Rhinolophus ferrumequinum: one gene and its partner. The protein of the gene in region 2 interacts with the protein of the main gene of each other region in a pairwise test. Links are inferred from orthologs where the notes say so. Each region holds a gene or a part of one and is shown on either strand. Other genes may lie near its edges.

Region 1 (7,120 bases), on a different chromosome or scaffold from region 2:
GGAAGGGTGCTAGACATCTCAAAGGGTCTATTTATTGCAGGTATTGTCAATGCTTCAGAGGTGGAATGATGAGTTGGCTCTAGGATTCACCCTTTGGAAATGTACAACACTAGAATATGAACTGATAGCATTCCATTACTTATGGAAAACTAAGATGGTAGGAAATAGCCAAAGTTCACATCAGAGCATGATAAATGTACAGCAGGGCCAGCCAATACTTCTATTCCTACCTCAATCTACTCTTCTCATACCTCAAACATCTTACCCATTATAAATTCAAGTAGGTTAACATGCTTTTCTTTCAAAATCAAGTATTAGGTGAATAAACTATATACCACTCATATGAATTACCAGAAATAAATCCATTTATTTTACAGAAAAGAAAATGGAGAACCGGTAATATTAAGTGATTTAACCAATATACAATGTCAGTTGGTAGCAGACTGAGTTTTTCAATCACACCAAGCTATTGCTAAATGAAAGGGAATTTTATTTTGAGGATAGAGAAACAGAAGGCTAAGAGAAAGCGTTTTCAGGGAAAGGTGGGCCTGAGAGAAAACTACAGATTGTCAAAATGGGCAACTTTTGTTAGCTAAGCCAGTAAGAAGGCACTGTCACATAGGACTCCTTGGTAAGACATAAACACAAGTGGGAAAGTGTCTAAAAGAAAAGGTTCTCACTGTCAAAAAAGTGAAAAGCAACCCACAGAATGGGAGAAAATTTTTGCAATTTATATATATATGGGACTTTTATCTGGAATATATAAAAACTCTTACAACTCAATAATGAAAAAACAAGTAACTCAACTTAAAACTGGGCAAAGGATCTGAATAGACATTTTTCCAAAGATAATATACATATGCCAATAAGCCCCATGAGATGGTGCTCAATGTCATTACTCATTAGGGAAATGCAAATCAAAACCACAAGGAGATCCCACTTTAATCCACTTGACTGGCTATCAAATAGACAATAAAAAGTATTAGTGAGGTTGTGGAGAAATTAGAACCCTCAAGTGGTAATGTAAAATGGTGCAGCTGCTTTGGAAAACAGTCTGGCAGTTCCTCAAGAGGCTAAACATAGTGACCATATGACTTACCAATTCCATTCCTAGGTATTTACCCAAGAGAAATGAAAACATAAAAGTCTATACAAAAATTTGTACATGAACCGTCATGGCAGAAATATTATTAATAGCTAAAAAACAGAAACAACCCAAATGTCCAGCAAAGAATGAAATAAAATATGGCATATCCGTACAATAGAAGATCATTAGGCTATAAACAAGAGTGAAGTACTGATACATGTGACATGGGATGAACCTTGAAAACAGAATTCTAAGTGGACGAAGCCAATCACAAAGGCCACATATTGTATGATTCCATTTATACAAAATGTCCAAAAAGCGAATCTATAAAGGCAAAAAGTAGATTTGTGTTTGCTTATGGCTGGAGGGGATAATGAGAATGGGAGAGCAAGGGAGAGTGATTGTTTAAAGGTACAGGGCTTCTTTCTGGGGTGATGAAAATGTTCTAAATTTGACTGCACAGTTCCGTGACTATACTAAAACTCCCTGAATTGTACACTTTTGATGGGTGAATTGTATGAAATGTGAATCATATCTCAATAATTTTTTTTATTTTTAATTTTTCAATTACAGTTGACATTCAATATTATCTTATATTAGTACTATAAAACAAAAAAGGTCCCGACCTGGTATTTTCTGTGGCAGTTAATAACTAGTAGGCAGCTTTTTAAGTAGGAAATTTAAGAGTAGCTAATGTGTACCCCCAAAATGTAAATTACTGAAATGGCAATATCTGAACCTTGAATCTGGCTCTGGATGCTATCATAAAGATTTGGGGATTTAGTATGGTTGGCAGAGGACACGGAATGATATATAAAGGATGGTCTTTGCTCTAACTGCAGGAATGAGTTAACCAAAAACAAACAACAAACAAAAAAACACCTAATAATATACAGCAGAATAAGAGAAAAAATAATAATTGAGCAGATAATTCAGAGGTCTGATAAATAACTTCTGACGGAGCAGACTTCATGGAAGTAAACGCTCATCCTGGACAGACTTGTGGTGAGAGGGAGCAGATCAGTGGGTAAAGAGTAATTCATGTCCACGGTGCCATGAGTTGATGGATTTGGGGCAAATGTGGTTTAGTTAGAGATAAGGAGAGAAAAAGTCCTGTACTAAGGGCATACATAGTATGTGAACTTTATTGGGATAAAGGCCACCCCTAAATCAAGGCTCAAAAATAACATTTTCCATTTCACAAGTGTGTCTTAGAAACAAAATACTGTAAGTCAACAGGCTAAAATAGTCTTTCCTAAGAAAGTTAAAATCACACCGGATTGATGCCTCTGGCGACTTGAGGTCATCTTACGTCTTAAAATGTGCAATAAATGCACATAAAGGTTTTATAACAAAGAACGATAAATCTGTCGCAATTAAAACTGCAAGAGCAACGTGGCTGAGCAGCCTTGGAAATTAAAGCGACCAAGAAGTCCCCATGTGAGTGCCGGGGATCAAACGTACCTCTAGTCACCCGAGGGAAGAGGCAATACGAAGGCATCCCGGGAACTGCATTTTTGCAGGTAATCCCGGGTTGGGCGCTCCCGCAGGGAGGCTGCCTGCGATCCGGGCACGGAGGCAGAGAAGCTGTGGCGGCCTGGCAACCGGCTCAGCTCGATCGTGCCCAGGCACTTTCCGCGTTTCCATAGCTAACGTCAACTCTGGCAGCCGCCACCCGGCGCGGAACTAAGCGCGCGCTCGGGGGCGGGCCGGGCGCCGGACTCGCCACACCCCCGGCCTCCGCTGGCTTCTGGGTGCCTCCCTTCCCGCCGGCCAGGCGGGGCGGATCGGGAGAAGAGCTGCGCTTCGTCCTCTCCAGGCCTGGGCCAACACTTGCCTCGCGGAGGGCCGTGGGAGTCGCTCACGCCCTGGCTCCACCTTGGGCCCAGACGCTGCAGCAGCGACAAGGGGTCCCGACACCTAATCCTGAACTTTCACCCGGGCCGCACCCTTACGCAGGAGCGTCGTTGCCTTGGTGACGTGACGTTCCTCCGCAGGGTGGTGCTCTCGCGCAGATAGACGGCGCTGCGGTCGCCATTTTGCGAGTAGCAGGCCTTGGGTGGTCTGACTGCGGAGTGTGCATCTCCAACCACTCAGGGTCCTGCGACCCTCATTAATTAACCACACCCGCTCTGTGGCCGTCACCACCCAACATACCGAGGGTAATAAATATCTTTGAGTGATACTTCATACATCCTATTCAGCTTGGAAGATTTGGAATTGCATTTACCATGTTTCCCTGAAAATAAGACCTAGCTGGACAATCACCTCTAATACGTCTTATAAGCAAAAATTAATATAAGACCTGGTCTTATTTTTCTATTAGACCATGTCTTATATAACATATAAGACTGGGTCATACATTAATTTTTTTTCCAAAACATACATTAGTGCTGGTTGGCTGGCTAGGTCTTATTTTCCTGGAAACACGGGTAAGTGCGTGCTAAAGTCCCATTATTGCATCCCCCCCCCCCCATGAGTGGATTGTGACTGCATACTTAAATACAAAGAACCAAACTGTCCATCAATGAAACATGTTACTAAAGTGTCTGTTCATTAATAAAATAAGGTGAAGTTCCCATGTTCCAATTGGGGGGAAAAAAAAGTGGCGAACTGTTATTACTTAGCATCAATTTCAGATCCAGGAATCTTTACAGGGTGTCCACGAAGTCTCCAGTTTTGCTAGTTTAAAAGTTATCCATATGCCCTGTTCCTCCTACAACCTCCATTTTCCGTGATTTCATTTCTACCCTTATTCTGGACATCTTCTGGTTGGAAGTCTACCAGTAATCCTCAAGCACCTATCGCCTGAGAGTTTTAAATTGGTCTCAAATGATTTAGAGCGGGGGTGTCCATACTGCACCCGTGGGCCAACCGTGATCCATTTTTTCTTTAAATTTATTGGGGTGACAATTATTAGTAAAATTACATAGATTTCAGGTGTACAATTCTGTATTAATTACATCATCTCATGATCCATTTTTAATTGGCCTGCAGCAAATTCCAAAAATATATTTAGTTTACTTAAATAAACCAGGTGAGGCAATACATACTTCACCTTGAGTGAGTGGCCCGGCTGTTTGTATATTATATCGCATATGGCCCTTGGTGAAAAAAGTTGAAAAAAGTTTGGACACCCCTGATTTAGAGGCTCCTGTAAGGGATCTTTGAAGCCAATGTGTCAGTATCAAGGTACCCGCGGTTTCCCCTTGCGATTGATACCTTAGCAATTCTGCATACTTGGGACTTCTGAATGGCTTTGGATTTCCTTATCTCAAAGTTATACATGTGGTCTTTTTTTTTTTTTTCCTGGCTTTACTGGAAATGATGGCTTAGTTCTTTTAAGCTTTTAGGTTTTCAAACCATAATTGGAAAAACTTTTGTTTTAATATTAAAAGAAACCCAAGGCTTATAAAAAAGAAGATCCAACTCTAGCCAGAGGAAAAATGTAGTTTATTGAAAAAGTGGAAGAAAACCCACATGCAGTGTCAGTGATGTACATAGACTTGTCAGGGGCACAATTTAGAGATAGAACCTTTTATAGTTCGATATGAAGGGAAAATGTGCTCTTGGTCCATCCACAATATTGTCTACTCTTGGGAGAGACATATCCCCAGTCATCCTGGGTCAGAGTATCACACTAAACATCTCTGAAAAATCAGCTACTTGTAGGAAGTCAGTGTAGTGTGGTTAAGAGTAGAAGCTCTGGAGTCAGGAAGCCTGAGTTGGAACCCTGATACCACCGCTCACTACTTGTGTCATCTTTCAGCTACCTAATCTTTCTGTTGCTCACTTTCCATATCTTGTAAAAGAAAAGGGGGGGGGGGGCAGGGCCTAACAATGGAGACAGAACTTAACCCAGAGGGAGTTAAGGTAAATAGGATTAAATCAAATAACTAAACGGCTTAGTAAGGGACCTAACTGGCACAGCTTAAATGGTTAGTGAGTATGAGATATTATCCTTATGTAGAGAGCTGTGTATATATATGATGCCTGTGTGCATCACCTTGAATTACACATGACCCAACCAGAATGAACATTTTTGTTGTTGAAATACCTGCTGTAGATATTTGGTAGTTAAATTTCTCTTTTTTCCCAATATGTTTGTACTTTGCACTATCTTAGAATAAAATTAGTAAAGCTTATGGTACAATGCTTTTGGTTACTTTGTGTATAAAGTATTCATTCAACATTTATTGAAATATAGTGGATGCTATTTGCCAAGCACCACACTAATTGCTGTAGATACAAAGTCAAATAAAGTATGATCCCTATCCTCAAGGAATTTACCAAAATATCACTTGGGAGACCAACAAGGACATCAGTAGTTAGAGTGTGTGATAAACAGATATGTACTGGAGCTTAGAAACACAGAAGTGGGACCCATAAATCATTTTTGGAAAATTCAGATGACTGTAATTGAATTTTAAAAGACAAGTAGAGGTTAGCTGGATAAAGATGTAGGAGAGGAGGTGTTCCAGGTAGGGGTACATTCATACATTTAACAAATATTTAGGGCATTTATAGAGTAAGATACGTATATACCTTATTTAATCTTAACCTTATGAAGTAGGTCATTATTGTTCTCATTTCAAATATAAGGAGTCTGAGTTTTAGAAAAGTAAAATGATAAGATCTGGAATTGAGTACATCTGTACATCTCCAAAATCCATAATTTTTTGTCACCCTGCTGATTCACATAAAACGAAACTCTCCCCAAAATCTGGAGCTGCTGCTTCAGTCAGAGAAAATGTTTATCCAGGTATATTAAAGGCATACATGTTTTTGTGTAATGGTAATGCCCATTTTCAATTCATACCCAAGTTACTCCTCTCACCAGAAAGTAAAACAACAACAATAGCAACAACTGTAAAATCCTCACTCTGCTCCCTTGCCCACAGACTATTTACCAGAGGGCTCTGTAAATAACCATGCGGAGCTGCAGCACAGAATCTGATGAGTTAAAGAAGGCGTGAAATGGCCTCAGGGAATTAGGAAGCTGAATTTCCAGGGCAAGGCAGTAGATTGCTAAAATTTGGTAAAGGACTGGATTGGGGTGAAAGTGGGATATGGTGGTAAGGAGACTAAAGAAAAAAGATGAGCCCAACCTTCAAGCTGGGTAACCACTAAGTTTGAGGTACCCTAAAATAAGCAAGCACAGGAGGAAGACTAGTTTTGGGAAGAAAGATAATCTGCTTCGAGACATTATGTGTTACTTGTGGGTTATGTCCAGTTAGAAATAAAGGATTGGACCTTGGGGGAGAGGTCAAGGCATAGACATTTGCGAGTATTTTACATTAAAAAAAAAGTTGAAATCATAAGATTGGAAGAGAATACCAAGTTTTGGATATTAGTAGGCATGAAAAAAATAATCAAGAGAGAATAAAGGCATTGTAAAATAAAATAATCGACTTCTTACATGGCTTGTTGAAATTAATCTCATTGCTTTATACCACAGATACTGATATGCATATAAATGAATGGGCATGTGGTGGGTAGAAATTTTAGTATGTCCCAACATGTTCACAGGGATGTGGGTTGGGTGACATTGAATTATGAGGATATGAAAGATCTTATATGAAAGGGAGTGACCAATTGTTAATCACTAAGTTTCATACTGAAACTGCTTTAATATAGAAAAAAATTGCAGACCAGGTAAACATTCATACACAGAACCATCAAATAGTGTATAATGTAATCATAGCTTTGCCGTTAATTTGGTTTTAGATACAATTAAATACAATTTGTTGTAAAATACAATATATTTTCAATTATAATTCTGAAAAATTTACAGTAATTCCTGATGAGTGTAGGGTAAAAGGATAGAATTTCTCAGATTTTGGTTTTGATCAAGCATTTTGAATTTTCTTCCATAGCTATTAAAAAATTTTATTATTGTTTCACATCAATAACTTCACAGATTAGATTTTTAACTTTAGGAGTGTTTCAATTATTATTTTAGAAAGTTATCACCACTGGAAACATTTTGGTTTTTTTATTGAAGTATAGTTGGCATACAATATTATTAGTTTC
Region 2 (7,988 bases):
CTCTTAGAAAATGTATTTCCTAACTCTGATCACTGTAAATCCTACAACTAATGCCCAACCTAGCAGTAAGAGCACAGTTCTCAGGCTGTGGTCTCTAAATACCATCTCCAACTCAAAGGAACCAGGGTTGTTGGCCAGAAATGTATAAATGAGGCAGGAACATGTTTAATCAGCAAATGAAGACATTATCAAAGACTACTTGTCATATCAAAGTGGACAGGAGTCAACTTAAAGGGGCTGCTGCCACTGGCCAAAGACAGGACAATTCGAGAATCAAAAAAAAAAAAAAAAAACTGCAATAGGTGGAAACAGTTTCAATATTTTCAAGCTTATAAGTTCATGATGATTTTTTTAAAAAGGCAAAAACCGTTTTGGTTTTTAAAAAAGGCAAAAACCTCACGGTTACCTTTGGAGGTTGTTAGGCCACCAACTCATTACCGCAGTCTGAAAATAGAGGGAAAGAATTAAGCATTTTTCTTGCCCTCCAGTATTTCAAATAGCTGATGACAGTCAAGTAGCTGGTGGGAGGAAGCTCTTCCTGAAAGATTTCCAGCTAATAAATACTAAAGGAATGACGAAATTAGAAAATCACCATATTGCAACCCCTAAAGGAACAATAGATATAGGCAATCTAAATCCATGAAAAGATTTCACCATTAAGTGCAATGCTCAAGGGGAAATTCATGATGGATGGATCAGTACACTGCTCAATCTTCATATCACAAAAAGAGGAACAATTCATACATTGTGTGCCTCTCTGATAATCAATGCAACAGGAAGTGTACTGCACCATCTGGGAAATATTCTTGCCCACCTCCACCAAAAAAAAAAAAATCAACATTGAATCTGATCAAGCTTCTAGATCAGTGCTGTTCAACAGAATTTTCTGCAGTTATGGAAATGTTTTATATCTACACCGAACGGTAGCTACGAGGTACCTGTGACTATTTGGCATTTGAAACACGGCCAATGCGACTAAAGAACTGAATTTTTTGTTTTCTTTCATTTTAATTCATTTCAATAGCCACAGCTGGCTGGTGGCTGCTATAATGGATAGTGCAATTCTAGATCTAACTACTGGTTTAAAGGAAATAGATACACATGGGGAAGAATACCATAGGGATAAAATCAGCTAAATGTAGAATGCTGAGGGGGGAAAGGCAGGCAAGGGAACTACTATATCTCAAAAGATTTAAAAGGTGCATTAACCAAATGCAATACATGAATCTGAACAGGATTTTTATCCAAGAAGCTAATTGTAAAAAGACATTAAGGGACAGCGGGGAAGTCTGAACCCAGGCTGAATACTGACATTATGGAATATTTATTAATTTTCATAGGTGGATGGCAGTACTGTGGTTTTGTAGAGGTGAAAAAAAACAAACTTACCTCGTAGAGAAAAAACAACCCTAACTAAACATAAAAATCAAAAATTCAGTTTCTGAAACCTATGTAAATGTTGGCTTCAACTTTCAAACCAAGCTGACATTTTTTTAAAAAATAGGAAGCTCTGATAGTGGACTGCTGATGCAGTCAACATGTGCCACCTCTACTACATAAATGAGAACAGGAAGGACCAAGCAAAGGTCTTCTACCTTTTAATGGGAGGTAAATGGTGTATCGATACAATTAACATACATAATTATTACAAATAATTTTTAAAAGCTAACTCTACATACATTTTAAAGGACAGTGTAACTCTCTGAATGTTTATAAATCTCTTAACACATTTAACTTTCAGTCGTACTATATTGATCATTGATAATGATATCGTGAAAGGACAAGCAGCTCAGGACAAAAGTCAATTTAAAGATGATACCGCATTCCAAGTAAGAAAATAATACACTTCATTTTATCATTAAGTTACAACTATGATGACTCTAAATGGAAACACCTGAAAGTAATGTGTTGTTGATCCTTGTATGATTTCCTCCTATCTATAAAATAAAAAGCAAGCATGTGGAGAACTGTGTAACTACAGGATACCTACCCCACAATACTGCTTTATTAAAAGAATAATTTTTTTAAGACTTAAGGTTTAAGGAATCAAATGTAAGGCTCAAGAAAGACTACTCTGTGCAAATAAACGTACTGTAACTATAAATGAAGACTAGTCACTGACAGCACACTCATCTTCACTCTCCGACGTTGTAAGGGGACATAAGAAAAACCATATTATGAGCCTATCTATACTGTCTTCAAATATCTTCATGGTTAGTGTTCGTAAGGAACTGTCACTTTTTAAACCATGGCTCTACCACTTGTTTCCGATCCCTGATTTCTATGGAGCAATCTGTAAGGCAGAGGTGCCCCAACTTCAATCCTTCACGATTTCTGCCACATTTCCATTTCTCCTGTGTCAACGTTGTTTTTAAGCCAACTCACTGTTTAAACTGCTAAACTTCCCACCATAAATGAACGGGCATCACCCGCCGTGGATGGCTTAAGTCACAACAAAGCTACGGTAGCAAGTTAACCAGAAACGACAGGCTGAGCGGGAGGGCTGAGCCGGAGGTCCCTCCCCCGAAGAGAAAACTGGCCACCCGCCGCCCTCCCGCTGGCCCGGCCGCAGGGAAGGGCTGACCACCTGGCTGGCCCGACGGCACGCCCGGGAAGGCCATATCCGCCTTCGCGGGCCCGCAGGGTGTGGGCGACGAGGCCGAAGGGCGGGGCGCCGGAGCTGGCCTGGGCCGGCGGGGGCGGGCCTGGCGGCTGGCGGGCTGCTGCGGAAGCCAGCCCCGAGCCTTTGGGCCGCGCGGCGGACAGCACCACAGCCGCCGCGGCCAAGCCTGCCCCAGGAATAGTACAGGCCCGCCCCTCGCCCGTCCTCCGTGCGCACATGAGGTTAGGGCGCTCCCGCGCGCGCGCGCCCCCGAGCTTTCCCGCCGTTACCTCCGGCGGGGGCGCGCGCGCGTCACCGTCAACCTGACGTCCAGCATCTGTCGTCGACACGTTCGTTCCGCCCCCTGCTCCCTCCCTTTTAATGGCAACAAACGTCCTGCCTCACCTCCCCTCCGCCCAAGCAAATGGGCTCACCCACATCCGGGGATCGGAGCAAAAAGAAGTGCGGGTCACGTGGTGCCGAGGGTGGGCTCCGGTGGCCGCGGGTGCTGCGCTGGGTCGGGTGCTGGTAAGGGTTTCCCGCGCCCCTAGCCTAGGTTCTGCAGGGCGAGAACGCGTTCGTTCCTCAGCGTCGCACTGCCTGCGACCGAGGCCGATGTCTTCATTTCAGCCCCATCACTGCCCTTACCGCTCACTGGATCGAGTGGAAAGAAACTTGGGTGGCGGGCCTGGACCTAGACCTCCCCCGCTTCCACACTTGGTATATCCAGCCTCGAGCCGGAAGTCGGGGCTGTGAGGCGGGCTCACACTCCTGTACGGATGGTGGTGGCCTGCGAGGGTCATTTTTAGCCAAAGGGGGGGGGAAGCCGTCTGCGTTGATCATGTAGTTGTGTATTTACAAAATTCTGAAGCACAGAGGAATAAAACGTGCCCCTGCCCCAAGGAACGCACGCGCCGCCTGTCTGGAAAGCAAGAAACAGCCAGTGTGACAAGCTCCCAGTCGGGATCATTCGCTATTCCCAGGGAACTAGGGGACCTGAATAGCCTCCTATAGGAGGAGGTGACCCGGGAACCAAGTTTTTCAGACCGACAGGGATTATCTGGGACATAAAGGGGAAAGAGCATTCCAGGCATTGGGGCCATCACACGTGTAAGAAAAGTTTGTTCACGAAACTGATAGTGGTGAATGCTGTCGAGTGTAGCAAATGCTTGTGACAGTGGCCGTGTCCTGGACTTTGCCTCTCTTGATGCTTTCCACTCTTCCAGCCCCTTACGAGTGAAGACACCACTCGGGAAATGGGGAGTTGACCCTGATGATGTGACGCCCACGTTGAGTTTGGAAGGAAAAGTACACGGGGGAAAGAGGCTTTTTTTTAAGTGCAAAGGGTGGCAAGTATGATAGGGCTAGAGATGTTTGGAAGAGGAACAGGTGAAAACAGATTGAGGCCAAATTGGGGGAAAATGGATTAAGGAGTCATTGATGGAAAATGGACACCTAACAATTGGAGACATAGCTGAGCAGTCTGTCACAAGGCTGACCCAACTAGTGGGTCATAAGGACAAGAAGGAAGCATTCGAGGGCAGAATGCCTGCTGAAGCTGGAGTGATTTGAGAAAACTACAGAAAAGGTGGAACTTGTGTGGGCCTGGGGAAATCAGCAGGTTTTGATCAGAGGAAAGGAAGGAGGGCATCCCAGAGGTCAGAGCATCCAGGACAAAGGAGTGGCGGCAGAGAAAAAGGAGGGCTTGTGTATGACAGGGTCTCCAAAAATATAACTGGAACTGAAAGGACCCCTGGTGTGTACATTTCCTGAAGACAGGATTCTTCAGCTTGTTGTGAGTTATCCACTTAGTAGTACTGGATTAATTCTCGTAATACTAAGAATTAGTAGTGAAACGTTAAGACGTCATCTGGTTCACTGGTGGCATAGAAGCTGGGCATGTTTCAGTTTTGCCTGGATTCTTATCATGGGGGGAAAAGCCTATCATTATTACCCAAGTAGTAGAGCTATCTTGAAGTCATTTTGTTGGGGAAAAGCACAGGCCTATACGAAAGAGTTGGGTTTCACCCCCAAAGACTATTTTCTGGTATAAGTCTTCACAGTCTCAGAAGTGGGCGTGACTCAAGTGCCTTTGGTGCCACTGAATTCCAGACCATTAGGATGGCTGCTTTGTAGCAGGGAGCACAGGAGAGTGATATCTGTGATGAAGAAGCAGAGTCCACACTTGGAAACAGAGTCTAGAGGTATTTTCCAAGCTGGCTATTGGTGTTCAAGAAAAAAAGTGGGGAGTCGGCCGAGAGCTAAGTAAGCATCTTGACCACTTGGGCCAGGCATGAAAGGGGGCACAGCGTTAAGAATCAGAGGAAGGAATCCCAAAGGGAAGAAGAAACCAGCAGCATGGGGTCTTCCCACTGTGGTTCACCTGGAGGTGCTCCTTTCAGGGCTCAGCCTGGGCACCATCTCAAGAAAGGCCATTTCCTTCACAAGTTCAGCTGAGGATTTCTGCAGGTCTGTGGCTGTTCACTTTGTATAACCCAGTTCAGTGGGGATCTCACTATGATCCTGTGCTTCATTTAGCTCCCGTGCCAAAGAATGCCAAGGTTAGAGCTAAGGCGGGTGGAGACTTTTGTGAAAATGGTGCAGGAAAGGGTAGAGGGGCCAGAAAGGAGACTTGATTATGAATGAGTCAAGGATTCATCAAAGGCATCCTGAACAGGACAAGGTGAATGTGCAAGTTAGGAGAGAAAAGCTGCATTCTAGACGTGTTGTGGCCTCGTAAAGGAGGCCCTCAAATATATTCTCTTTTTGTCATACTATGACTGGTTTGTCCACTGGGCTATGTCTGATGTCTGTCCATCGTCAGCTGGGGTAGGAGGGGAGGAACTGTGATCTTATAAATAAGTCGTCATCTGACCCAGATGAGAAGATGGATCTTCCCCAGGGTGATATTATGCCAAAAGACACATCCAAGCTAAAAAGCCTGGGGAATCCTAGGGCTGATTACATCATCTCCTCAGTCTTGTTTAAGAAATTACCTTTTTGGCTTACAGATTTGACAAGATTAAAGCTTCAGGAGAATGGACAGTGAGGTACAGAGAGACGGAAGGATCCTGGATTTGATTGACGATGCTTGGCGAGAAGATAAGCTGCCTTACGAGGATGTTGCGATACCACTGGTAGGCTATAATTTGTGCTGAGGATAATGGGTAAAAGATACGATCTGGTGGGGCCTAGTAGAGATAGGATGTCAACGGACAGATAAACTAGTAGGGCAAAGAAATCAAAGCTGTAAAGTCCACTAATTCTAGAAGCATCTAGACTTTTTATTTGAAGATAAATATAGTTCAAAGAGCTGTTGTGACCAGCTCCGATAGGAGTCATGCCAAGTCTGGAACCCAGGCCTTCTGAGCCATTTTCTGTTGACTACACCAAAGCCAAAAAATCAGATAAGAAGAGTTTAACACATCAGGTGGGAGGAACAGGAAGCAGGGGCATATAAGCTATACAGTATGTCTTCTCTACCTATGGCTTGTCAGTCTGTTGGCATTTTTAAAAACTCAACATTTTTGGAACACTCACCTATCCTAAGTTCCCTGGAAAATATTCAGAAGACATTTGGCTTTTCTTCTTTTGCATGTAGACCAACAGACTCCTGGAATACTCTTTCCTGATCTGTGGCATACAGTCCTGCCAGGAGTTTATTAAACCTTACGTAATAAATGACTTAAAAGTTTTGCTTGTATAAATGCTTGTTAAATATCCTATTGATGTCATAGAAGCCTAACAAGGGACAAAGATCAGGGCCTAGGGACTGTTTCTCTTTAGAACACGCTGACTGCCCTGAAAAGAGTTCTTAATAAAATACAGCTTACAGGTAGACTACGGCTGCTGTTTACAGAGAAAGAAAATTCAGCTCACCCACATTTTTATTTACAAATAAGATGTGATAATAAGTTCAATGAATAATACACATATCAAATAATAAGGCAGCTTAGTTAAAGTTTAGAAAAATAGTCAAAAGAGAGAGCGTAATGAGAATTATAGCTGCCACTTATTGAATACCAGTTTTATGCCTTGGACTGAGGTTGAAATTTGACATACATTCTCCTTAATCCTTAAAACAACCTTGCAAGGGTGGTGCTGTTATCCCCATTTTACAGGAAGGAAACAGGATCCAAGAGAGGAACTTGCTCAGGGTCGGGTAGCTCATAAGTCAGACTTCACACTTGAGTCTGGGAGGCTCCAGGTCCTGTCCTGTAAACTTTTGTTTCTTTCATTCCACCAGTATTTCTTTGAAGCCTTCTGTGTGCCATAAAACTATGTGAACATAAGATACAGTTTCTGCCTCTGGGGATCTAGAGAGGTAACATATATAAAGAAATTGTATAATAATAAGGGTTCTTTCTAAGTGGGGTCATGAACAGCCACCGTAGTATAGGAAGTGGCTCATTGCCTGGTGGGCGTCAGGAAAGGCCTCCAAGAGGATGTAAAGTTTAAGCTGGTTATAGGGGAGGACCAGAAGTTTAGTGGAGACAGACCAGGGCACGCCAGCAGCGGGGGCAGATGTGCAGAGGCTCAGAGTTCTGAAAGGCTAATAGAGAGTGAGGTATTGAATGTGCCTGGAGAATACGTTTGTTGTATAAGGTCGGCAGAACGGTTGGGCTTGGACCAGATTTTGAGAGGAATATTTGTTACCATGCTTAGACCTCATCCGGGGGATATCCAGGAGTGAGTGGTCTTCAAAAAAGAAGTCTGCCACACTCAGATTTAGGTTTTGGAAAATCAGTTTAGCAGCACTGTCAGAGGACGTCTGCCATGGAGAAAGGGGCAAGTGACAGGGCAGAGGGACCAATTAGGAAGCTATTGCAGTGGCCCAGGCAAGGGAGGAGGGCCTGAACAATGGCAAGAAAATGGAGGGGAATTGCCAAATTCTGGACACGCTTATGGCAGGATTTGGGGATCATCCGTGTGGCAGGAAATGAGGGAGAGGTAAATTTCCATGCTGACTTCCAGGTTGTAGCGTGGCTCATGCACGTCTTGGGATACTAAGGCATTGGTGTATCAGTTAGCTTTTGGTGCTGCCTAACTCGTCACCCTAAAACATAGTGGCTTAGAACAATAGCTACTTACCTCATGACTTTGTAGCTCAGCTGAGAGGGTCTTCTGGTCTGCCTCAGCTTGGCTAATCCCTGCTGGACTTATTCGTGCAGCAAGCTAGCTGGAGGCTCAGTAGTTCAGGACACTTCCTCAGGTCTGGCAGTTCAGCAGGCTGTGAGTTGAGGTGATAAGGTGACTAGGCCACAGTCTCTCGTTATCCAGCAGACTAGCCCAGACTTCACATGGCCATCTCAGGGCTCTAAGAGCAGCCTGAGCGGAAACCGCACAGTTCACGGAGCTTAGGCCAAGAAGTGGCCCATGGCACTGC

Evidence for each region. The genes of interacting proteins can lie anywhere in the genome.
Region 1: the proteins of CEP63 (region 2) and PCNX4 interact in a two-hybrid assay, tested with the Homo sapiens proteins (2 studies listed by BioGRID and IntAct). The link is inferred for Rhinolophus ferrumequinum from reciprocal best matches to the Homo sapiens genes CEP63 and PCNX4.

The regions. Positions count from the first base shown.
Region 1 is NC_046289.1:34,672,129-34,679,248, forward strand, and holds the start of PCNX4 (pecanex-like protein 4), read right to left. Parts: upstream 3,019-7,120; 5' UTR 2,552-3,018; intron 1-2,551.
Region 2 is NC_046300.1:34,591,087-34,599,074, reverse strand, and holds the start of CEP63 (centrosomal protein of 63 kDa), read right to left. Parts: upstream 3,008-7,988; 5' UTR 2,940-3,007; coding exon 2,893-2,939; intron 2,825-2,892; exon of another isoform or gene 2,588-2,824; intron 1-2,587. Other genes in the region: ANAPC13 (anaphase-promoting complex subunit 13), read left to right, coding at 5,641-5,739. UniProt on the Homo sapiens protein: Required for normal spindle assembly.